Diceros bicornis minor: one gene and its partner. The protein of the gene in region 1 interacts with the protein of each later gene in a biochemical or structural test. Links are inferred from orthologs where the notes say so. Each region holds a gene or a part of one and is shown in the gene's direction. Other genes may lie near its edges.

Evidence for each region.
Region 2: of the proteins of MALT1 (region 1) and RELB, one has a biochemical effect on the other in vitro, tested with the Homo sapiens proteins (2 studies listed by BioGRID). The link is inferred for Diceros bicornis minor from reciprocal best matches to the Homo sapiens genes MALT1 and RELB.

What each region holds. Positions count from the first base shown.
Region 1 is NC_080755.1:49,979,643-49,988,080, forward strand, and holds the start of MALT1 (mucosa-associated lymphoid tissue lymphoma translocation protein 1), read left to right. Parts: upstream 1-4,956; 5' UTR 4,957-4,991; coding exon 4,992-5,266; intron 5,267-8,438. UniProt on the Homo sapiens protein: Protease that enhances BCL10-induced activation: acts via formation of CBM complexes that channel adaptive and innate immune signaling downstream of CARD domain-containing proteins (CARD9, CARD11 and CARD14) to activate NF-kappa-B and MAP kinase p38 pathways which stimulate expression of genes encoding pro-inflammatory cytokines and chemokines.
Region 2 is NC_080773.1:19,348,513-19,357,666, forward strand, and holds the start of RELB (transcription factor RelB), read left to right. Parts: upstream 1-5,167; 5' UTR 5,168-5,317; coding exon 5,318-5,366; intron 5,367-6,353; coding exon 6,354-6,401; intron 6,402-9,154. Other genes in the region: putative lipid scramblase CLPTM1, read left to right, coding at 1-61, 284-582.

The sequences.
Region 1 (8,438 bases):
TAAGTATCAGACTTTCTGAATGATTTGCTTTGTAGATAATAAATTAGACCTGATTTAAGACTTTTCCTATCATAATGCCATATCTATCATGTAACCTAGTATTATTCCTATCATTATACTAGTGCTCAGACATGTTTTCTTGAACAGGAAGGAAAGGTGGCCGTATCTACGTGAGTGTGTTGCACACAGGAATGTCTTCCATCTCATAAAGCATTGCTAAACTCTCCGCTGACAGCCTCAATGGGAGTTCCTTTGTACGTGAGGAATATTTTTTCTCTCGCTGCTCCACATGGTACTTTCTCCTCAGTATGTTCACACTTCCTTCTTGCTGCCAACAGAGTACTCACCACTCCCTTTCTTGCCTCAAGCAGAGATTGGATTAAGTCAATCTTGTGCTCTAAGCATGGTACGAAAAAACTGACAGACTGAATTGCGGTGGGTATCTGACTCCTGATTATCTATCTGGGTTATCTATGCCTTCACTGTCTTTGACTAGGCTGTTTTGCTACTCTTGAGAGACGCAAGTTGTAGAAAACTGATAGTAAGGCAAATAATTCTTAATTATAAATAAATTAATTCTGTCAAGTGGAGGTTCAATCTATCTTCCTCCTCCACTACGGAAGAAGCCAGTTTTGCATCTGTTAAGCTAATTCATTTCAGCATCTTGCTGGGCTTACATAATTATCTCATCTTTGGATTCTCCTTTGAAGTGGTTGTAACACCTTTCTGGTTCCCTTGTTCACTAATGTGTTAAGTAAAATCTTTGACACATGTTCATTGTACATTTGTTGAGAGTCATGATTTTAACTTTCTTAAAAAACTATCCCATCCAAAATCCTGAACACCGACATCAAATGCTGGCGTGGATGTAGAGCAACAGGAATTCTCATTCATTGCTGGTAGGAATGCAAAAGGATACAGCCATTTTGGGAGACAGTTTGGCAGTTTCTTAGAAAACTAAACATAGTCTTCCCCTATGAGCCAGCAATCACGCTCCTTGGTATTTACCCAAAGGAGTTGAAAACTGATGTCCACACAAAAATCTGCACACAGATGTTTATGGCAGCTTTACTCATAACTGCCAACACCAGGAAGCAACCAAGTTCTTCAGCAGGTGAATGGATAAATAAACTGTGATACATCAGGCAATGGAGTATTAGCCAGTGCTAAAAACAAATGAGCTATCAAGCCATGAAAAGACCTGGAGGAAACTTAAATGCATATTAATAAGTGAAAGAGGCCAATCTGAAATGGCTACATACTGTATGATTCCAACTATATGACATTCTGGAAAAGGCAAAACTATGGAGACAGTAAAAGACCAGTGGTTGCAAAGGGTTAGGGAGGAGGAGGGACGAATAGGTGGGGCACAGAAGATTTTCAAGGCAGTGAAAGTACTCTGTATGATACTGTAATAGTGGATACATGTCATCATACATTTGTCTAAACCCAAAGAATGTACCCCACCACAAATGAACCCTAATGTAAACTATGGACTTTGGGTGATGATGATGTGTCAGTGCAGGTTCATAGTACCAGTCTGGTGGGGGATGTGGATAATGGGGGAAGTTGTGCATGTGTGGGGGCAGAGGGTACATGGGAAATCTCTCTACCTTTACTTCAATTTTGCTGTGAACCTAAAACTGCTCTAAAAAAAACCTTAATAAAAACAAAACAAATAAAAGCTATCCTTTAACAGTATTTGGCACAGAGCCTGGCACAAGGTAGGCATCCAATAAATATTTGTTAATGATTGAATGAATGAATAAATGAAGAATGAATGAATTTAGACAAGTAAAAGAGTTTTTGCCATGGATGATTCATCATGAAGGAAAGGTGTGGAATACAAGTGCAACACTTAGCCACTATTCCCAAGTTGAAATCGAAACGGGAAAATTCCCCTAATCCTTTGGGAGACGGCAGCAGCAAGGGGCAGGTACGGATGCGGAGAGCCTTGTGAAAGAGCGTGGCCTCAACAAAGAGGCTGAGTCAGAGGTCACGAAGGCTGCAGGGCATGGAATAAGGGTGGAAGACAAGAAATGCCATTTAAGTCACAAGACTCCTGTTTCCTTTCCCTCTGTTGTAGACAGATCCCAGGACCTGCAAGATCCCCGGGCCTTTGAAAACCTGTCCAGATATGAAACAATGTTATTCTGGCATTTCTAGATAGAGTACCATCTATAGTCAAATTGTGTAAAGGAAAAAAACCTTTGAGTCAGTTTCCAGATTTCTGAGAGTTTTGAAGATTACATCAATGAATTTCCATAGAATGAAACCACAAGCTTCCTGAAGATTGTCTGGATTCACAAAGATTTGTGTCACTCTCAACTAATGAGGAAGAACTCCCACGTATATTAGCTATAGACATGTATGAACTTTTAAAGGGCATTTAAAAGCCAGATCTCCACTCTGTTTTTCTCCTATCTTTACATAAACGTAAATATAGAAATAGATATAGAAAAGGAAGCTGAATTAGTTTATTATGTTGTTCCCAACACTAACATGACAGTTTTGAGAGTACTAATATATGCTGCATCTACTTCTCCCAGACACTTTATATATGCATATATATTATCTCTCATTTAATTCTCACAACAAGCATTGGAAGTAGGTACTGTTATCTTCCACTTTTTACAGATGTGGAAATCGAAGCAGAGAGGTGAAGTGACCTGCCTCAGGTCACACCACAACGAAGTGGCAGCATCAAGGTTCAAATTCAGGGCTAACTCTAAAGGTCACATACTTTCCACTATACCATTAGGCCCCATAAGAAAACCACAGGAGTGAAATTATGTGATAAAAATATTAACACTTGATTGAGAGGAGAAGTCCAGTCATAAAGTGTAATGTCAATCCAGGGTAGAGGTTGGAGAGTGGTGGATGAGGTGACGGCACAGGTTATAAAATTGCCAGGAGGCAAACAGGGCCAGGACCAGAGTGAAGTGAGGGAGGCACCTGCCTGGGGATGGAGAGGAGAGGATGGGAGGGGTCAATACAGCGCCCAGCTGAGCTGCACTGGATAAAGAAGCACCTGATCAGGCGCTGGCCCGGTGGCGCAAGCAGTTAGGTGCGCGCTCCACTGCGGCGGCCCGGGGTTCGCCGGTTCAGATCCTGGGCGCGCACCGACGCACTGCTTGTCAAGTCATGCTGTGGCGGCGTCCCATATAAAGTGGAGGAAGATGGGCATGGATGTTAGCTCAGGGCCGCTCTTCCTCACACACACACAAAAAAAGAAGCAGCACCTGATCAAAATGAGATAGATGCTCACAGGGTAAATAACATAGGTACCCATTTTAACCCATATGCACATATGAGAAGCTGCATAAGCAACACCTTGTACGTGGTAGACTTAGAAAAAAGAAATCTGTTGAATTTCAATTTTAAAAGACTAGAAGCCTTGACTGATCCAGACTAAACCAATCAAGACTAGAAGAGTTGACTTCCATAATTGGCACCTGCAGTGAATAAACTCATAAAATATTTGTTCAATGATTTAAGACAAAACAGGAAGGCACCAGAAGTGACTGGGAAAAGCTTACCAAGTCAAACTGAGTATGAACAAGCTTTTGCATTTGTAAGGATAATAGCTACTCTCTGCAAAACAGAGTTAAGAGCTTTACATGCATCAACTCCTTTAATCCTGGTAACAACTCCATATTGTATATTTTCAGTCCCATTTTAACAGATGAGGCAGAGAAATTAGTAACTTATTCAAGGTCATAAAACTAGAATCCAGCAGATCTTTCTGGTCCCAAAGGTCTTGCTCTTAGCCAGTATACTGCATTCTGAACTTTGAACTTACACTGGATGAAAAAGCCTCGAGACTGCTTGTGCTAGAATGTGGCGGAGACTGTATGCAGCAACTACCTCGCCAACACGTAGTGAGAATTTGCGGGTCCGAATTATTGCTACAGCAAATAGCACATAGCAACACACGTAGTCCTGTGTGATGAAAAAGCTAATGGCAACACAAACTGGGCCAGGAAGCCTTGTGTCTGGGGGCTACCTGGCTGGTCACACTTCATAAGCTGCTTGCTGGTTTTTGTCCCAAACCACCCTACGGTTTTCAATGGAACAATGGCCTTCAATGTTGCTAAGATTGGGGGAGAGAGCTCAGGTGCAGTCTGCATTTATTTCATCTATTCTGGACCCTTCCAGGGATGGCATCCTTTATAACGCTGCCTTCTTTGATATACGAAGATTGTGCGTGGCAGTCTAACTAGGAGGAAACTAGGCGATTCCTGCTAAAAACAATCATTTCCAAGATCTGATTAGGTTTAAATACACCACAGTTCAGTTAAAAAAAAAAAAATCTAAGCACAGATTTCGGGCAATTTCCATTAGGTATCTGGATCTCTAGCACCACTTCCCTTACCAATGCCATACACATCTAACCCTAAAGAGGAAGCCCCCGCTGAGGTTGCCCAAGGCGGGTGCTGGTGGCGTCGCCCGTCACAGGCAAGTCACTGAGTCAGCTGAGCGAGCCCCTGGAGCAAGAAGCCAGGGGCCGGCAAAGGAGAGCCGCGTGCTCCTGTCTTTGGCGTGAGGCAATCCTCCTCCCACAGTCTCGGGAAGCCCCGACGCCGCAAGCTTCCTCGCCGTAGTGGAGCCGCCCGGGCGTAGTTCCTCCCTGCTTCCTCCAGCTGCAACCACCCGACCCTTCCTGCTCGGCCAGGACTCCACCTCCCCGGGTTTGAAGCACGCGCCTCGCGAGCCGGGCGGCAGCGGGGCGGGCGAGGGAGACACGCGGCCGCGCGCGCACGCGCGCGCAGGGGAGGCCCCGCCCCCGCCCGGGGCCCCGCCCCCTCGGCGCGGCTGGCGCGGCCGGCCGGCCCGGCTTCCCTTGACAAACCTGTCTCGGCGGAGCGGGGAGCGCAGCTTCCTCCTTCCAGCGCGGTGCAGCGCCGCCCGATTTGTCCTTCCGCCGCTGCCTCCGCGGCGCCGGGGCGAGCGAGGGAGCGAGCGAAAGGTGTACTGGGCCGAGGCCCGCGATGCGGCCGGCGGGAGCAGCGGCAGTCGCGGGGTCGCCGGCGCGGGACATGTCGCTGTGCGGGGAGCCGCTGCAGGCCCCGCCGCCCCCGCCCTCGCAGCCGCCTCCGGTCGTGCCCTCGGGACCGCCGCTCTCCGCAACGGCCGGCGCGACCCTCAACCGCCTTCCGGAGCCGCTGCTGCGGAGGCTCAGCGGGAGCCTGGACCGCGCGCCCGAGGGCCGGGGCTGGAGGAGGCTGGCCGAGGTGGCGGGGAGTCGGGGGCGCCTCCGGCTCAGGTGAGGCGGCACCGGGGGCGTGGGGGCGGGGTCACGTGGGGCGAACTTGGGCGGGGGGCGCGCGAGGAGAGTGGGGTGGGCACCGGGCTGGGACGGTGGACGCCGTCGTGGGTGGGGCCTGAACCCAGGAAGGTCCTGGGAATGCGTGAGATTTGAGAGTGGACCCCGGGCGTTCACGCCGTTTTCCTACCCTCCTCCCGTGGGCTGAAAGAGACGAGTCGAGGTTGACCAAGGAGGCTATTGAGAGAAGGAAAGCTGTCTGGAGACCGTTGTGATAGGGCGGCAATTCCGAAGCACTTAAAATACAAAAGAACAGGATGTGGACACAGACCTGGAAGACCCTTAGGAGGGTTAGGAAGGAGAAGTGCAGGTAAAGAGATGATGAAAGCAAAGGGTTTGGGGTGCAGGAATTCATGAAGGTTTTTATGTAGGGAGAGAAGGATGGTGGGAAAGACAGACTTAACTCACCGTCTTCCTCCGTCAAACCAACTTACCAGGCTCTCTTCTTGACTTCACCATGACATTAAACTATAAATAAAACTCTTTTCCTATTCCCAGGCTTGGAACCGCTGTGCTAGCGGTTCTGGAACGTTTGGTCTCAGGACTCCTTTACACTCTTAAGAATTATTGAGGACCCCAGAGAGTTTTTAATGTGGGTTCTATGTATTACATACATATAATATATACTGATATTTACCATATTAGAAATTAAAGGTAATAAATTTTTAAAATATTAACTAAAAAGAATGTCTCATTACATGTGAACAGAAATTACATGTTTTGTGGAAAAACAGACATTTCCAAAACAAAATTTAGGAAAGTGGCATTGTTTTACATTGTGAAAATCTCTTTAATGTCTTGGCTTAATTGCAGAGAGCTGGCTGCTTCTATGTGCTTCTACATTCAGTCTGTTGCACTGTCATATAACACTGGCTACTCCAATGTACACTCCTGAGACAGTGAATGAAAGAGATAAAAACATCTCTGACCTTGTGGATCAAGTGAAAGGGTTTCAGGAACTGCGCTAGGGGTTCCTAGACCACGCTTAGACCCACTACTCTATACCGTTGTTATGGTCTTGGTCTGCTTTTGAACCCCTTAGCAGTTTTCTTAACTTCTCCTATGAGTTAACTTTGTCTTATACTATAATTATTTGTACACATCTTTATAAACTCCTTGAGAACAGGAACCATCACTTAAGATTTTATATGTTATATATTGAACCTATCTTAGGCATTCTATAAATACTTTGAATTGAGAGGGGAGTCATTCATTCAAAACTTACTGAGTGCCTATTACTGAAGTTCCAGAAAATAAAAAGATAACAAATATTTAACTACTATTCATAGGGGCTTGTCTAGTAATGGACTGTTATTCTGGGACATTCGCAAACATGTTAAATGCTATGTTGAGTGTGAATCATAATAATAATGGGTTTTTATCATTTATTAAGCACTTAGTGTATACCAGTGTACTAAGTGTTTGCATGCATTATCTACTTTAACCCTCACAACAACCTTGAGTTTCAGAGAGTTTAGGGTTAAACCAGAGTCATGATGATTTGGGATTATTTGGCCATACAGAGGAATAATGATATGAGGATGGAATCAAGAAGTGGTAAACTCACAAAGTGAGCAGACAGATGGCGTACTTTTTTTCTCTTCTAGGAAAAACACATTGTGCTTTTGACTGTGGAAAGAAAATCCAAGACACTGTTATTTTAGCATCATAGATTTCTGAATTTCTAAACTTAGAATAATGTAAAATATTGTCTTCTTTGGGAGGGGTCAGATTACCCAATCTGTGATTGGTTAATTTGTGATATTAACTAGTACTCTAGTTAGGGAAGGCTCTGGGCTTTCCTGAAGAGGCCCTGGTAGTGAGGACTCGTATTTGTCAATAAAGGAGAGAGAAGAAAGTCATTAAGGCCCTGCCACTGAAGAAGCATGGCTGCTGGAATCTAAAAGTAGTGGATACCTGACGTCAGGTGTTCAGTTTTCGTCCCCAAGCCTTCAGTCAGGTGTTGTTAAAGGCTACAGAATGATGTCAGCTTTGTTTGGGGGAACTAATGGAAGGGTTTGAGGCCACATCTTTAAAGTGACGTAGTATAGAGAGAAGGGAAGTTGCCTAGCCTGAGGTGATGAGCAACAAAGGGCATGCGATGGTGGAATCTGGGAATATCAGGGTGGGAAGTCTGATAACAGACAGATGGAGTTTCACCAGTCTCCCCAGATGGTGAAGGTTGGTTCAGAGTAGGTTAGTTGTGGTGGAGAGAGTGAGGGCAACCCTGAAGATTGGAGAATTGGGAAATATTAAGCTCATATACCTCTTGAAATCAGAATTAAACTGACATGACAGAGGTTAGCACTGAGAACTTGGGGACTGGAGAGTGACAACGGAAGGGGCAAGGTAAGCTGGTCATGCTTACTCTATTTAAGACAGTTATTTTAAAGTGATTGCATACTCATGGCAGAAGAGCATCTGTGATAGTAGGCGGTCCTAAGGGTATTATTCTCTAGTATCAGACCTAGGAATTGTAATGTGTGAGTCCAAGTGACTAACAGTTCCCACGAGGATATGAAATGCTTTCCTCAGAATTGCTGGATTCGTAGCCTTAAAGTCTTAAGACAGTTGCCTATTCTGTTTCTCTTCACTTTTTTCCCTCTGTACGTCTTTCCGCAAACTAGATGAGAATTTAATAAATAAACCACAAGAGTCCATTCTGAACTGTCCATCAGGGATTAAGAATAATTGTAAATGTTTCCACATGGTTATTGATGAATCAGAATAAATCCTTGCATGTAGTTTAGTTTCCCACAACCATGTACATATGGGAATGCCCTAAATACAAACTCAGCCCTAATTCCATTCCAAACTGCTCTAATATTGAACACCCTTTGCTGTCAGTGTAGATAGGCACAGGTTCTGAGTGTCTTGCACAAGCTGCATAAATTCTCTGGTGGCATAGAACAGCAGAGCCCCGAAGATGACAGAGCTTTCAAAAGGCTCTAATGCCACCTAAATCTGGTGAAGGAGGGAGCTTAGAAATGGGCTGTGGAACGTGGACCAGGGAAAGCAGTCAGTGACTCCCGACCTACTGTGTTGAAGGTGCTCTTTGAGCTGCAGAAATCTTGCCCTCAAGCAGTTTGTGATAGGAATGAGAACAGGTGTG
Region 2 (9,154 bases), on another chromosome or scaffold:
GACCTGTTCGCCTTTGTCATCAAGATGCCCGTTATGTACCGGATCGGCTGCCTGCGGGACGGTGAGGCCCGGAGGCAGGCGGGTGGGTCAGCGGAGCCCCCCCCCCCACCCAGAGCTGGGCACAGGCAGGATTCAGGGCCCTGGTCTGCGGGAGCTGCCCCGGCCCCACCTTAGGGCTGAGGCTGAGGGGGCTCGGCCCCGGCTTTGCAGGACCACTCCTCCCCACAGCGGTGGGCCAAGCAGGCCCCCTCCACTTACACTGCCCCCCTCACCCCACCCCCAGATGTGGTCTTCTTCATCTACCTCTACCAACGGTGGATCTACCGCGTCGACCCCACGCGGGTGAACGAGTTTGGCATGAGCGGTGAGGCCCCGCCAGCAGCTGCCCCCGTGGCGGAGGCCCCGCCAGCAGCAGGGGCCCTCCCAGCCTCCCCTGCCCCCGCCACAACCACTGCCGCCGCCAGGGAGGAGGCCTCCACGCCCCGGCCCGCCAAGCCCACCCAGCCCACCCAGGGGCCCAGCTCTGCCAGCGAGCCCCAGGAGGCTCCTCCAAAGCCAGCAGAGGACAAGAAAAGGGATTAACCGCTCCTGGTCCTCCTCGTCCGCTCCGGCTCCCAGTGACCACCGCCCCCGCCGCCTTGGCCCCCCCGCCTCCCCTCCTGTCGCCCTTTCCCTGGACAGATGGGGCTGGGACGGTAGGAGGCCCCCTTGGGCCAGGGCCCAGCTTGGTGTGGGGGCCGGGCAGGCCAGGGCACGTTGTTTGTGGAGGCGCCGTCCGTCCGTCTGTTCCTCTGTGTTTCTAGCCATCTCGCCCCGCCAGCCCAGCACCATCGGGAATCATGGCGAAGCCGACGTGGCGCTGCCGAGGGGGAGGGCCAGGCGGGGGAGGGGCCGGGGCCCCTCTGCGGGGCGCCCACGGCATCCATCATCTTGTCCCTCGTCCCCGCGCACCCCATCCTCCCAGATCGCCGCCCTTTAACACAGTCTGGATTTAATAAATTCATATGGGTGTTTAACTTAAACTCAACAACCCCTCACGCCTTCCTTCCTCTGTCACATGGGAGAGCAGGTGTGATGCCTGTCCAGGTCTGGAGGGAGACCCACAGGTGCAGGACACGACCCTCGGGGCCAGGCCCCTTTCTTACCCTCTCCCCTCCCAGCAGCCCTCTGAGGGGCCTCCATGACTGTACCCCACTTGACAGACGGGGAGCCTGCTTGCCGGGACCTTGCCGCGCCCATGCTCTTGCCCCAAGGCCACACCCACCTGTGCCCACTGACTGTCTCCCGGCCATCGCCGCCGGGCAGGGCAGGAGCATGGGCCTGCCTCCTCGCAGGGTTGCGGCGGGGGCTCGGGGGTGAATCCGCGCTCGAGTGGTGCCCAGCTGTAGCACTCTGTAGCCGAGGGGGTGTCATCAGCACCCCCAGGGCTGCCTGTGTCAGAGACCCAGCCAGGGTCTTAGTGCATGGCACGTGTGCCTTCCCAACAACCCGGGTGCTGGGACTGTTCACCCACCTTACAGGTGAGGAGACAGGCCTCTGGGCGTCCCTGCACACCGAGGGGTTGGAGCCCCACGTTCCCAGGTTTACTTTCTGGGGGAGTGGTCTCATCAACACCTCGGGGACAGGAGGCCCGGGGCTGAGGACCATGCCAGGCTCTCAGGAATCTGTGACACGGTACTGCAGGCGCCTGCACCCCTCAGGCAGCCACGGACCTGCTCCACTCCCTCCCCTGCTCTCTGCGGGGCTCTGGGAACCCGGGGCCGTGGACCCTCAGGCCCCCTCCGCTCGCTGGCCTCATCACCCCTGGCTCCTCCTCCCACAGCCACACACCCAAGCCTTTGGCAGGGCCCATCTGCTGTCCCCCATAATTGCTTGGGAGTCTCACCTCTTCACTTCCACTGAGACCACGTGGTCCAGGCTCCTCCTTACCCCCTGGGCCCCCACCCAGCCTCCTCCCTGGTCTCCTGCCCAGTCCTGCCCCTCCCATTCACTCTCCATCCAGCAGCTAGAGAGAACTTTCCAAAGCACAAACCTGACCCTGCTCAGAACCTACCGTGGCTCCCCAGTACCCTTGGGAGAAGAGCCCGGGCTCCTAACTTCTTAACCCCTACAGCCCCCCCTGCTTTAACTTGCTGTGATCTCTTACCTCCAGCTCTAGCCCATGCTCTTCCTTTACCTGGGACACGCCCCCAGGCACTCAGCTCTTCTCCTTACCCTGTGCATCCTCCAGGTTGCAGCGCCAATGTCGACTCCTTCAGGAAGCCCTCCCTGACCACTCCCTCTGGGCGCTCACAGCTGCCTGGGCTCCCCCATCCCAGCCCTGCCCGCTGTGGGTCATCACCATCTGGAGACAGGTCATTCTCCACTGGACTGAGCCCCGTGAGGACAAAGCCAGGGCTGTCTTGGTCACTGCCATGTCCTTGGCACAGAGAAGGCGCTCTGGGAGTGTGCTGAGTGCCCGTTTGTACAACTGACTTGCACAGACACACACACACATCCAGAAGCGTGGACCCTGACGGGGCCGCATTAAGCTCCTGGTGGAGTGACAGACATGCAGTTAGTCAACAGATGCTCCCTGAGCCCCTCCCCGGATGTTGCCCTGAGCTGGGGGTTCTGTGTACACAGCAGGGACCAAGACAGCCCCAGGCCTGCCCTCATGGGGCACAGAGCCGGAGAAATCCTGAGCGCTGAGGGTTTCCAACATGGCCTTTCACTTATTCACCCAACAGACAATTGTGAGGCCTGACATTTGCAAAGGACAGAGGGAATCAGGTGGGCCCCTGGTCCTATAATAGGAGCCACGATTTGACACTCCTTATCATGAGCCAAGTTCTAGTCTAGGTGCTGTGTGTGGTTCACTCCATGCACTAAATGTAGCATTACTCAATGTCCCCGTCACCTTACAAGCTATCACTACCCTCATCTCCACTGCTTCCCCAGCAGACATGCCACTCTAGCCTCCTTGCTGTTCCTTGAACATGCCATGCATGTTCCCACCTCAGGGCCTTTGCACTTGCTGTTCCCTCTGTCTTGAACACTCTTCCCTAGATATCCACATGGATCCTTTCACCATTTCAGCCCTCTGCTCAAATGTCATCTCAGACCCTCCCTGAGCTTCCTAACCCAAAGAGTACTCTCCCAACTTGATCCACATATCCTGCTTTATTCTCTAATCCTGCCATCACCACCGGACATCAATTTGCTTATCTATTTTCCACCTGTTGCCCTCACCTGGATTTTAGTTCCATGATGGCAGGCTGTTGTCTGTTGTGTCCCTTGCCTGCTGTGTCCCCAGCTCTGTGTGTAATAACTCTGTAAGTCGGATGTTCACAAGAGCAGATAGAGAAAACAGAAACCCAGAGAAATTAGGTGATTTGTCCAAGATCTCACAAAGTCACGTGACATGAGGATTTAGAACATGAAGTGCTTAGATCAGTGCAAAGCACATGTAAGAGCCACATACAAGTGTCAACTCTTACTAGTATCTTATTTAATTCTCACAACCGTCCTATCATTAGACCCATTTTACAGATGAGGAAACTGAGGATCAGAGAGATGAAGTCAGTTGCCCAAGGTCACACAGCTGGTAAGTAGGAGACCTAGGATTTGAACCCAGGCTGTCTGATTCTGGACCCTCAAATCATAACTTCTTTTGCCATGTTCTTGTTATATGCAGGCTACAGTCCGCAGGCCAAATCCAGCTTTTTCTAGTTCTGGTGTAATTTTTACATTTTCAAGTGGTTGAAACAAACCTCAAGGAGAAGATTTCATTTCACATGAAAATTACGTGAAATTCAAATTTCAGTATCCATCAAATAATGTTTTATTGGAATACAGCCACACTCATAGCTTCCGTACTGTCTTTGGCTGCTTTTGTGCTGAAGAATCGAGTGTTGCGGCTGTCTGGCCCTGAAACCCTCAAGTGGAACAAATTTGCTGTCGGCCGTTTGCAGAAAAAAAGGGCCGGATATTTTGCTCTGTGGCAGGAGTTCTTCAACTTGAGCGTACAGCCACATCACCTGATGAGCTGGGGGCCACCCTCTGAGAACTGCTGTTGTACGTGATCCTGCCTCCCGTGAGCAGGTACCAGGCCTGGCTTGGCGAGTGCTGTGGCCTAGTGCCCAGTGCAGGCTCTGGGCAGAGCAGGTGCTCTGTAGGTGTATGTGGAGTGAATCAATGCGTCCACGTGGGCCACGGAGGGAAGAGGTGGAACACTCACGTTTTACACAAGCAGACACAGGACGCCAGCCCCCGGCTCTGTGGGCCGAGGGTGCCCTGCATCCCAGCTGGAACCCAACAGTCACCCAGTCATTCTCACGGACAGGGCAGGCTTAGGAATGTGATGTGACCAAAGAGCTGCCCCTCTTTGAGCCTCAGTCCCTCGTCTCTCCTCCTGGTTCTGTCACGTGCGTCTGAGGCCCCCAGGTAAGCCCTCTGCTCAGCCGTCAGGCACACAGCTGGATACGTACACGGGGGGCTTCAGCCATTCCCAGCCCGAGTTACTGAGCTGAAAGTGCGCTGCGCTATTAGGAAACTTGAAGGGGCTATGGGGAGGAATAAAACATCCCTCCATTCATTCAACAAACATTTATTAGGCACCTACTGTGTTCCAGGTGCTGTTTTAGGCACTGGGGAGACAGCAAAGAACAAAACAGACAAATCCTAGAACTGACATTCTAGCTTTAAACGTTTAAATATGTTCACTCCCAATTTACAGTTGAAGAAACTGAGGCGTAGAGAGACCACGGAGGTTTCGTAAAAATCATTATCAATGTCAGCTATAGAGCCCCTGATCCCGAAGTGCCCTTCCAGCCAGAGAAACAGCAGGTTCAATCCCGCCGGCACACCTGAGCGGCGGGCCTCAGTTTCCCGACTTGCTCCCTGGGTGGGGCGTGAGTGGTCCCAAGCAGGCCTCAGTCTTCTCCGCCAGAGCAACGGGCAGCGGCGGCGCCCGGCCCCTCCAGTGCGCCCGGCCTCCTCTTCCCGGCCGGCCCCGCCCCCGCGACCACGTGACGCGTGGGGGTTTTCCCGTTCCCCCAGCGTGACGTCACGGCGGGGTGCGGGCCAATGGGCGCGCAGGCCGGCGGCGCCGGGGAATTCCGCCGCCCCGCCCCCGCCCGCCGCCCGCCCGGCCCGGCCCGGCGCCCCCCGCAGCCCCGGGCGCCGCGCGTCCTGCCCGGCCTGCGGCCCCAGCCCCTGAGCCGCTCGCCCGACCCGCGATCGTCCGCCGGACCGTACCGCCCGGCCGCCCGGGCCGCCCGCGCGTGTGTTTTGGTGTGGGCCGGCCTCCGGGCCGTCCGACCCCACCGGTCGGGCCATGCCGAGTCGCCGCGTCGCCAGACCCCCAGCGGAGCTGGGGGCCTTGGGTAAGCGGGGCCTGGGTTCAGGAGGACTCTGGGGCGGGACTGGAGATGCGGGCGTCTGCGGGTCCCGGAGGAGTCTGATGGTTCCTACAGGACTCCAGGGGTTTTGCCGGGAGAGTGTGAGGGCTCCGGGGACACTGTATTAGAGGGAAGGAAGGAGGCAGAGGATGGGGACGGGGTCCGGCCCAAGGTAAGAGAGAGGCGTCCCACTGTAGAGTGAGAAGGGGGCGGGGCCTGACCCTGAGGCAAAGAGGGGGGCGGGGTCCGACTCCGAGAGGGGAGGGGCGGGGCCTGACGAGGAGGAGGCGGAGCGCGAGCCGCGGCTGTGGGGTGGGGGCGTGGCCAGACTCCGAGAGGGCGAAAAGGGAGGGGCCTGGTTCCAAGGAGGGGCGGGGCCTGACCCTGAGAGCGAGAGGAGGGCGGGGCCTGACTCAGAGAAGGAAGCGGGGTCCGGCTCAGAGTAAGGGGCGGGGCCTGAGGGCGAGAGGGGGCGGGGCCAGACTCCGAGAGGGAGGAGGGGCGGGGCCTGGCTCTGGCGCAGAGACAGGAGAGGGCCTGTTCCGAAAAAAGAAGGGCGGGGCCTGACTCAGAGAAGAAGAGGGGGTAGCTGGTCTCAGAAGAGAAGTGGCAGGGTCTGAGAGGGAGAAGGGGACGGGCTTGACACTGAAAAAGTGAAGGGGTAGGGTCTGACCCTGAGATAAGGAAGGAGGTGGGGGCTTTCCTAACAGGTTGACAAGGGCTCCTCCAGGCCCGATCTTAAGGGGGAGAAGGAGCGAGGCCTGAGTGTGATGAAAGGTGGGGTGAATGATAAACTAGGGGACGCGTCCATGGGTTAGGGAAGGGAGCAAGGCCAGACTCAGTGGGCGATAAGGGGGAGGGGCCTGATTCAAAGGGGCGGAGCCAGGAGGGGAACGGGATGGGGCTTGGGGGATTCTCTGGTCCTCCCGCTGCATCTCCATCAGCTCATGAGACGTGCCTCCCTCCTTGCAGGGCCCGCTGACCTCTCCTCGCTCTCGCTCGCCGTTTCCAGGACCACGGGTGAGCAGCCCTCCACGGTCCCTGCCCACCTGCACGCTTAGGACGGGGGACGGGGGAATCCTGTACAGGCGGCGTTGGGCACGCCTCTGTTTGGGGGTTTCTCTAGGTCCACCTCAGCTTTCCTCTGACGGCCTGTGTCCCTCCCTGCCCGTTGAGATGGGGGCCCCAGGCGGTGATTAGGAGCTGGACAGGTAAAACTAACCACCTGTTCATGCTCTAAGAGGAGTTCTCTTTAAAGAATCACCATATTAGCACTGAAGTTAATAATTACAGGCTGATGCCACCACCCCCTCCCTGTGTGAATGTCTGCAAGTCACTTCCCCTCTCTGGGCCTCAGTTTTCCTCATCTATAAGATGGGCATAATATCAGTGCTTCCTTTTTAGGGGGATTGAGAGGATACAGGTAAACTTTCAAAGCAGTGTCAGGCACACAGTAAAGGCTCAATAAATTTTAACTATTAGTGATATAATAACAATAATAATTATTATTATTAGACAGGCTATAACAGTGGTTCTTAAACCTTCGTGTGCATCAGAGTCCCCTGGAGAGATTGTTAAAACAGATTGTTGGGCCCCACCTCTGGAGCTTCTGATTCAGTAGGTCTAGGATGGGCCCTGAGAGTTTGTATTTCTAGCAAGTTCCCAAGAGATGCTGAGAACCACTAGTCTCTAAGGTCCCTCAGCCTGTGCCATCCCAAATTCAGTGCTGCCCAGGGAAATGCAGAATCATGGCCAAATGACAAGATCCTCTCTCTTATAAATCCGCTGGGATTATGGAAGGCAGGATTGAGTCCCATCACCATGAAAACTCAGAGGCCCCAGTGGGCTGGGTCTGAGCCTCTCTCTGGGGGGAGAATCTTAGGGGGTGGGCCCCAGAAGTGCTGGCTTGGCTGTGGCAGAGGCTCTGCGGGTTCTCTGACAGGTCTGGGCGATGGTGAAAGGTGGGAGATGGCACTGGGGACAGGTACTGCCCGGGCGCTGGTTCTGGGCAGGAACAAGGCTGAGACTTTTCTGGCCTGAGACTTAGATCTTTGGTTTCAATTGAGACTAATTTCTGACGTCATCCATTCAATAAATATTTATTGAGCGCCTGTTGTGTACCTGGCCCTGTGCTGGGCAGTGCTGGGGACTCAGCAGTGACTGAGACAGCCGTGGTTCTGCCTTCCTGGGGTTCCCTACCTGGATGTGGAGGCAGACACATAAACAATAAATGAAATGTGGGATTGATTATAAAATGTGATAAAGGCCATGAAGAAGTCTGAGAGTCAATGATATCTAATAGCAGGGTGGGGATGGGATAGAGCGGGAGGGAAACTTTCCCTCGTTTTGATGGGCCAGTGAGTGACAGCTGGGATTCAAGCCGCCATCCTTGTGACTCCACACCTCACGCTCTGAACCTCCTCATTCCAGCCTCCTCATTTTATAGACAGACAAACTGAGGCCTAGAGAGGGGAAGCGGTTTACCCAAGTCGACAAAATGTCTCCTAACACTGTAGCATTTATGTAGCGCCTGCTATTGTGGCGGTTTCTAAGTGCTTCCCATTATCAGCTCATTTAATTTCCACTATAGCCCAAAGAGGGAGGCGTTATTACTGTGTCCATTTTATAGACGAAGAAACCAAGGCTCAAAGAGCTTAAGTAATGGGCCTAAGGCCACAGAGCTGGCAAGTAGCCGAGCCAGGGTTTGAACTGAGGCAGTCCAAAGCTCCAGCCACTGCTGCCTGGGCCTCAGTTTCCCCCTGCAGCCTGGGAGTTCCTTGAGGGCCTAGACAAGTCTAATTCATCTTCGGGTGCCCGGGGCCTCCACCACAGAGGCCTAAGACGGTTTTTCCAAGTTGCAGTGACTTGAGGTAGGCCCTGCCAGTATCCGCAGGGTGTCCCTTCATCTCTCCCAGCCTCAGTGTCCCCATCCACCAAGCGAGGGTGTCTTCCCCACCCTGCTGACTTCACAGATCGCGTGAGATAAGGGGTGTAGGAGAACTGCCTTCCCAGGACCAAAGGTCTGGCTGCCAGGAGCCACTCCCCGAGAGTGGAGGAGGAGGACAGGTCTGGCAGCAGGACAGGTCGGCGTCAATAAGGCCGCAGCCAGCAGCCAGCACAGGCCACCCTGGCGGGGCATCTGGCCCCGGCCTGCCCTCCCTTGCTGTGTGACCTCAAGGCTTGCGTGCTCCCTCTGGGCTTCCCCTTGTCCTGTCCACCGAGTGACAGGAGGTTGGTTTCGATTTCTCCATGGCCCCTTTCAGGGCTGAACTTTCCTGAGGAGGTAATGAGGGGCTTCCCCAGCACCACTGGCACTCCCCCCTCAGGAACTGGGGGCAAGTCCGGGAGGGCAGGTAGGCACTGCTGGGGACCAGGCCGGGATGCAGACTGGGTGACTCCCTGGAGGTGGAGGATCTGCCTCCATGGATCTTCAGACACCAGCCAATGGCCTCCCGGGGGTCTAGGGTGGGCTTTAGGGAAGGGAACATGCCCGCATTTTGCCTAGAATCTTGGGCGTCCATTTTTTTCCTGGTGATAAGACCCTTGACTTTTCCTGGGATTCTCAACAATGCTTCCTAATCTCTGGCCTAAATGTTTTGGGGAGGCATTTTGGGGTGCCATGACCCTGGGGCCCCAACATTGGGAGCTGAGAGGAGGGCAGCCCAGGAGGGGGAGATGGGGTTGGGGGTTGGCACCCCAGCGAGTCGGAGCCCCGGGTTTCCCGGGTTGGAGGAAGGGGGAAGCGGAGAGAGTTCCAGGGGGGGATGCGGTTG